Linked DNA regions of Diceros bicornis minor. The protein of the gene in region 2 purifies or fractionates together with the protein of the main gene of each other region. This does not show direct contact. Links are inferred from orthologs where the notes say so. Each region holds a gene or a part of one and is shown on either strand. Other genes may lie near its edges.

Region 1 (3,905 bases), on a different chromosome or scaffold from region 2:
TTTCCTCAAGGGAGGAAGCTAGATTTGATAGATGCCCTTATCACAAGGGCAAGTTCAGCTTTGAAGTTACACGCAGGGCGTTAATGGAAGGGAAGTCCTTGGAGCAGGGTGCAGAAGGCGGTCAGGAAATGCCCCCGGGGGAGGGTAACTGTTCTCTAAGAGTAATTCCTCAGGTTGAGTAAAGAAGACAGAAACTACAGGCCTGACTTGGCCTCAGGCTGAGTCGGGAGGTGCTAACGGGTCAGGGTCGGGAGCGGGGAACTAGATTCCACCACATTGTCTTATCTACCCTGTTCTTGCTTCCCTTTGCTTGAAGCCAGCAGAGGGGAGTAGATATTCAGATTTGGGCAACGCCTCCTACTATGTGCCAGGCGCTGCAGGAAGGCTTCGGGTAGATTCACCCGGTTGCTCCACCGTCCTATAAAGGATGGACCCGGGAGTCCGAGAAATTCCTCCAGGTGCGGGGAACGTGACACACTTGGGCAAAGGCAGTTCAGGAACCCAGTCCTTCCAATCCGGTCGTGGAGAATGGATCAGAAATTTGGGATCGGGCGGAGGCAGCTCTGTGGCTTTGAGCAAGTCACTGCACCTCCTTTAGCTCACTCAATTTCTCTATCTACAAACAGGACACAGTAAAACCTTATAAGGTTTTTTTTTAAGGATCAGGGACCTTTACTGTCAAGATCCTGGCACGAAGCGAGGGCTCCATAAATGGCAGCCATCATTCTTGGCCAAGTGCGGGCGCATCCTCCCGGCGCGCCTCCCGCGGGGTCCCTGGGGACAGGCCAGGCCCGCCCCCGAGGCTCCGGCGCCCGCGGCAGGTGGCCCAGCATCTCGGTGCCCACGCCCCGAGGCGCGCGGGCGGGTGGCACGACCGCGTCTCCCCCGGGGGCTCACCTCCTCCCTCCACACGCCGGGCAGGTGAGGTTTGCGGCCCAGGCCACGGGGACGGCGACCTCAGGCGAGGTCGCGGGGTCCGGGGCGCCCCCCGCCCGGCGCAGACTCGCCCCGGGGTGGCCGGCGCGGGGGCCGCGGGCTGCGCGCGCTGCGGCTGCGAAAACCCGGCGAGCGGATCGGAGCGCTCGCAGCCAACTCCTCCGCGCTCCGGCCCCGAGCTGGGCATGCTCAGTGCGGCCGCCGCGCGCCGGCCCCAACTCGGAAGCTCGCGCTCCGGGCCGTGGGGGCGAGGACGCCGGCGGCGCCGAGCCGGCGTCGCCCGCCGCCCCCGGGCAGCGGCAAACTTCGCGGCGTCCCCGGAGCTCGCCTGGCCGACACTGATCCCCACAGATCAGATCGAATCCGGTCCCCCCATCGCACCCCGAATCATGGAGGCTGCGGCCGCCCGAGCGCCGCCGCCGCCGGCCCCTGCCCACTAGCGGGGACCAACAGGTAAACTGCGGGGGAGGCGAGGAGGGGCGGCCGGGGGAGGGCGGCGGGTTGGGGAGCCCGAGACGCCGGGGCTGGCTGCCCCCGTCGGCGCTCCTCGCCCACCCTCCCCACCCGCTCTTCCCGGCCCCTGGAGGGGCAGCAAAGGGTTAAGTCGGCCCCGCGCCACCGTGAGCACGGCCCCCTCCAGCCGCTGCGACCGCCAGCTGCGCGCCTCGGCGCCTGCCCGGAGCCGCCGAGGGGACCCGAGCCGCCGACGCGCCACCGGAGCCCGGCGGGCGTCCGGGAGGCACCGGCCGCGTCTCTGCCTGCCCATCCCCTCCAGGCCTCGCTCCCTCCGCCCCGGCCGGGTCGGCGCCCAGGTGGCGGGGTCTGCGGGGCGCGTGGCGGCGGGGAAAGGATCCCTGCCGAGGTAGAGGGACGGGGGCGGGCCGCTCCGCAGTCTCTTCCTCCGGCCGGAGGACCACCCTCGCCTCGGGCGAGCACTTGAACCACCCGCCCGGGCGCCAAGAAAAGTTTTTTTTTCCCTGTGCTCCTCCCCCACCGCCACCCTGCGTCCGGCTGTGGTGGGTTTGGGTCCATTGGTGAAAAAAGTCACACGTTTCCATCAGCTGCTCCTCCCCCTGGGGACAGGGTGGGGGGACCCAGGCTGACCTCCACCCCCTCCGCCGCCGCGCCGGAGCGCTGCGTCCCGGGGCTCCTGCGCCGCCGGGGGCCCGCCGAGGCTGCCCCATCCGTGCGTGTCTGCGTGCCGGGCAGCGGCAGCATCCAACCTGCTTTCTTCCTGCCTGCAGCGCCACAGCGAGCGAGCGAGCCAGCGAGGAGGGGGAGCGAGGGAGCCTGTCTGCAAAGTGCTGCTCCCTGGTGCTCAGAGGCGGCTGCTCCAGCTCCAACTCTCATTCATTTCGCCGGTTAACATGAGAGATCATGGCCGCCTTCGGGCTTCTCAGCTATGAGCAGAGACCGCTGAAACGCCCCCGGCTGGGGCCGCCCGACGTCTACCCGCAGGACCCCAAGCAGAAGGAGGTAAGAGCGCCGGCGGCCTCCCCGGCCCCCGAGGCCGCGCTCCGCAGCGCTGACCCGGGGCCAAGTTGGCCCAGCGGGCATCGCCGGCGCTGCGGGGGAAGGGTCGGAGAGGGAGGCCGGCGGCGGGGGCCGGGCTTGGGGGCCGGGGGACCCCCGGCGGCGCAGCCCGCGCGGCTGTCAGTCCCCGCGCTCCGCTGGGGCGCTCGCTCCCTGGGTGCCGGGTCGCTTCCCCGTTCCCGGGCCTTGCACGGCGCCGCCGGGCGCTGCACCAGGTGCTTCCTTGCCGAAACCCTCCCGCTCGCTCTCCCCCGCTTCTGCCGGCTTTATTTTCCTCCCGGCTGCTTTAGTAAATCCTCGCAAACTTTTTGAAAAATGTTGGAATGCAGTGCATCCGACACAGGTCTTGCGTTTTGCGCCAGCTGAGCAGGGACGGGGGTGGGGGGGTGGGGGACCTTGTCTATTCAAATTTTCCAGTTGGGAGTGGAAGTCGTTTTTTATCCAGGTGATAAATATTTAGCTCTTTGAACGTACTTTTTTCTGTAATCCCTCTGCCCTTTAAAAATCAATATTGAGGGGAAACACTGATTTTCGTCCCCAGAGGCGATTGGCTTAATTGCTGGAGGCTGTTTTGTATATGTAAAAGCAGTCAGGTTATCTTGGAAGGGAGTAGTTCCCGGGATTGCTTATTTCTTTGAATGAAATTAATTGGAGAAACCTTGACTCTTGCGCTAGTTAGGCCAGCTTCAATGGCTAGAGTAACCATGGCATTTTGGGCCGTGTATGTGTTTGTCAGTAGTTAACGAGTAATTATGTAACAACTCGCCAGTTATAATGATCACCCTTGGCTACACAATTTGCCCAGGGATTTGCCTTTTTCTTTCTTTCTTTTTTTATGATCACCTGCTCCCCAGCTGCGCTTTCTGAGTTTGCCAGCTGCAGCCCACCCATCCTCTGTTTCTTCTGCTAATCACGAAGTGAGCACATTTCAGAACTTCTCTTGCTGGGAATCTAAAAACCTTCTATTAAAAGTTTACAGGCCCACTGACATCACAGAATGGGCTGTTGAAAGAAAGCAAGGAGGGCTCTTTAAGACTTCCCTTTTGATTTGATAAGTGTATCTGCTTCAATAATAGAGGAAGAATGCTTGTTCTGGTTAAACTGTTATAATGTTTCTAAAAAATAAGGAGTGACAACTCCTTTTAGAGGGTTAGCACGTTAACATGTTTGAGGCTGGTGGAGTCCTTCAGATTGAAGCTGAGGTTTTACAGGTGGTTCTCAGCAGAGGCTTAACTGTGAGGATAGGAGTTTGACCAGATTCTGCAGATTTCACTCCCTGCTGCTCCACCCCAGAATAAAGTTAATTGTGAAGGACTAGAAATAACAGACACCAAAGAATAAGTATATAGAAAGTTAATAACTTAAAAATTAGTGGCAGGAAATTCTTAAAGTTTTGCTGGGGACAGGGACATTGATTGGCCTTTATCATCTCATAA
Region 2 (3,905 bases):
AGGTTTTGTAAACTGTAGTACTAAATTATAAGCAGACTTTTCTAATGTTTTATGTTACTTCTTCCAGCATTCTAAACACCTGAACAATTTTTTGCTTATATACTACATTACATACACCAGAATGACTTCTCTTTAACATATCCACGTGATTTCTCTCTTGCTCCCTAAAATAGCATTATACGTTTTTCTGAGTTAACCAAAATAAATTCTGGAACGAGCTAAACTGTAATTTACCACGATCAGAGTGTAAAATCCTTTACTATGCAAATCTGTATCACAGTTTAGAACCATCACTAAAAACTTTTTGTTCTTTCAAATGGCTGGTATCAGTGAACATAAAACTAATCCCACTACCAACCCACAAGAGATGGGTGTTTATGGTAAAGCCTCAAATCTCAACTAGACCCTTGGCCCAAGAAAAAAAGCTTCATAATGATTTTCCTTACATGTAATATAGTGATTTAAACGAATGCTTTCAGATCCTAAAAGGTTTTTTAAAAAACATATTATTTTGAAGATACACAAACTGATCTTACTCTACTAAAGAAGCTCTATTAATTCTAATCAAACAAATTTCACTCAAGAAGGAAGTGTATTCGAATCAAGAACTTTATTAGAAGGGGAAATATTCCAAAAGAACAAATAGAAGCAGGAATTAAAGTATCTGGTTTTTGTTGTAGCCCATACTATTCAAATACAATTCAGAAGCAGAATTTTTAACTTTTTCTCAAAAGTTGCCTGCTAAAAGGAAGCTATTTTAACAACAAAAATATTTAAATACATTTTTAAAATTCCAGGTCAAGTATATTACAAAGTTAGCATGAGGATCATGAAAAAACACCACGTATGATTTGTAAGGCCAATGTCCAAATAGGAAAACTAGATGTGCTTTCCCCAAATATATCTGATAAGATTCCCACAAGAATACAAGTGTAACAAGCAGAGTGGATATTCCAAAAACAAAATACAAGTTAATTACAGTACCTCACATTCCAAGATACTCATGCAAGGACTCCTGGCAATTAACTCAAAGAATTATGAGAAAAGTTTAGAAACAAATGAATACTATGGGGCCCGCTGAGTTATAACAAGAAAAAAATTATTTGCAATAATAACAATCCTTTACACTTGTATAATACCTTCTAATTTTCACGATACTTTATGATAAAACAATTTACAGTTGTGCTTTTTCGTTTCCTGTATGAAATTAGCACGCACGCACACAACCCCCTACCTACTTTGGTCCTGGAGTTCATAAATCAACCGTATCAATTACAACAGAGTGCACAGAACGATAAGCAACACTGCAAATCTTACTAATGTCATTGTGGCTGATATTCAGTTTATTTGGAAATGTTCCGCTACGATCATAAAAACTCTCTTCCACATAGTTTCGCCGTCTTGAGAGTCTAAGCGGGACAGGCAGATGTTCCTGGGCTCCCTAACTCTGGGGGAGGGAAATTCCTGCCAGGATGGACAGCGAGGTGACCGCTGGTTTAAACCTACTCTTCGCAGGCCGGGAGCTGGTTCCACCTGTCCTGCAGTGGAGCCCGTCTGCCCTCCAGGACGAAGGACAGGCGTTCTCAGTACAGTACCCAGCTCGCCTCCTCCAGAGAGAACAATCAGTAAGGGCTTTCTAAGGGGTTCCTACGGGTCTCCCTCGACTCTCAGGAAAACAAAGGTTCAGGCCCAGCTCTGTGTCACTCCGCATTCCGTTCTGGATAATCTAGGTGCCCGAGGAACCCCAGCACGCAGTTATTTGGCAGCAGATGCAGAGGACATAAGAACACCCAAGGTGGGGGAAATGAGTTGCCAGAGAACTAGGCGGATTCCGAAGTTCTGCGGGCAAAACGCGGTTAGTCTCGCAGGAGGTCCTACATTCGGGGGAAGGTGTGGAATTCAGAATGTGAACAAGCGAAATCCGGGGCGGGGGAGCAGGGGTCCAGCAGTCGCCGGGCATGCGACAGGGACAGAAGGGACTGCACCGAGGGGCCAGTGGCTGGCCGGCCCCAAGGGCGGAGGTGCCCAGAGGATCAGACCCGTGAGGCTGGCTAGGACCCCGGCGCGCGGCCGCCCGACGGGCTCCTCGGCGAGGTTTCAAACCGCCGCCCCGGGAGGCGCTCCGCCGATTGGAAGTTGCACAACGACCGTCACCAGCTCAGGGCCGGAGCGGCAACTCCTCGGCGGAGCTCTCCCAGCCCTCCGCGTCTCCCCAGGAGACCAGACCCCGCAAACTCCACCTCCCACCGAGGTCCCAACTCCAGTCCCGCCGCCAGCTCCGCGCACGCGGAGGGCGCCCTCCGGGACGGACCGACGCCCCCCAACTGGGCTGCGCCGCGGGAGCCCGAGGGGCGCGACGGGGCCGCGCGGAGGGCGGGCAGAACCCGAGTCCCTCAGAGTCCGCCCCGGGACGCGGCCCCGCGACCACCTCCGCTTCGCCCCTCCAGCACGGCCCGACCGGGCTCCGACCCACCCATCCCGCGCGGTCGCGGGCAGGGCGAGGACCCGAGCGAGCCTACTCCCCCCGCCCCTGCTCTTACCCATCTTTCCGCCTCGCCTTGTAGACGTGCCCGTAGGTGCCGCGTCCCACTTTGCACCCTTCGTACTCAAACAAATCCTCCACCCGCTCCCGCTCCGCCGCCAGCTTCGCCTTGAAATCATAATCCATTGTCTGCTTCCCCCATAGAGGCACCGGGACGCGGGGGCCGCCGCCGCTCAGTCCCTCCTCCTCCTCCCCCCGCGACCGCCGCTCCACTTCTCCAACAGCCGCCTCTCGGGCGCGCGCGCGCCGCCCGCCTCCCCGCGGTCCGCCTTCAGCAAGGGACTCCTCGGCGGCAGCAGCAACCACCTCCTCCACCTCCTCCTCCTCCTCCGCGGCGGCGGCGGCGGCGGCGGCGGCTCCCGCAGGCACCCCCAGTCCCGCCTCCCCCCTTCATTTCCTTGTTTTGGAACCTGGTGGGCCGCGCCGCGGCTTCCTCGAGCTCATTAACGAACCAGCCCGCCCGCCCCGAGGTCGCAGAAGCTCCTGGGAAATGTAGTTCCGCAGACCTCAACAGCAGCCGAGTTTTACCCGCGAAAGAAATACAACACCCAGGTTGCCTTGGGCCGCTACAGCCTCGCCTCCACAAGGCATGCACGCCTGCGCACTAGGGCCGCCCCTCCCCCTCAGGTAGCGCCGCACTGCCAGTTCCTGTGAAGGTAGATAGCGCAAAGTTGCAGTGTGCTTTCTGCGAGTCTGTGGGAGCTGGTGGAAAAACGGCTCTTGTTCTGGTGTGCGGGAACTACTGCACCGTACCCCTGAGCGAGGAGGAGGGTGGAAAGTATTTAACAACCGCCCAGCCCACCAGTTTGCTCCAGTGGTTTGAGAGGCGAGGACTGTGGTTAGGACAGTTGTACTGCAGATTGTTGTTTGTTTTTTGTGGCAATTGGTCCGCCTGTTGCCCCGCCCCCCCGTCCAACCGCTCATTGGCGGAGACTGGAGAATGACGTTCTCGTTGGTGCGTGGGTATCCCCAGGGTTTGGCTTCTTTCCCGCTCTTGATTGGTAATTGCTTGCGCTTGCTTCTTCCTGATAGGTTAATCTTTTTTCTTTACCAAAACCGTATTTCAAAAACTGAACTTCCAGCGGTTTCCTAGTTCCAGCATCGGTCTGAGAATATGTAACTTTTTTTTAATTAATTTATTAAATGTGCTTCTATAGGGAATCAATATTTCTGTTTGTGCATATTTGGTATGGCATCTTCATATTGTTCCTGGCCAACAATATTCTGTAAAGTGTATTTTTGTGTGTGTGTGTGTGTGTGTGTGTGAGGAGGACTAGCCCTGAGCTAACATCTGATGCCAATCCTCCCCTTTTTTTTTTCCTTGAGGAAGACTGGCCCTGAGCTAACATCTGTGCCCATCTTC

Evidence for each region.
Region 1: the proteins of CDK19 (region 2) and MED12L purify together in Homo sapiens (affinity purification with mass spectrometry; 3 studies listed by BioGRID and IntAct, counting the BioPlex papers as one, with this or other methods). This does not show direct contact. The link is inferred for Diceros bicornis minor from reciprocal best matches to the Homo sapiens genes CDK19 and MED12L.

The regions. Positions count from the first base shown.
Region 1 is NC_080741.1:4,125,779-4,129,683, reverse strand, and holds the start of MED12L (mediator of RNA polymerase II transcription subunit 12-like protein), read left to right. Parts: upstream 1-1,216; 5' UTR 1,217-1,389; intron 1,390-2,180; 5' UTR 2,181-2,313; coding exon 2,314-2,412; intron 2,413-3,905. UniProt on the Homo sapiens protein: May be a component of the Mediator complex, a coactivator involved in the regulated transcription of nearly all RNA polymerase II-dependent genes.
Region 2 is NC_080762.1:24,561,156-24,565,060, reverse strand, and holds the start of CDK19 (cyclin-dependent kinase 19), read right to left. Parts: upstream 2,820-3,905; 5' UTR 2,669-2,819; coding exon 2,541-2,668; intron 1-2,540.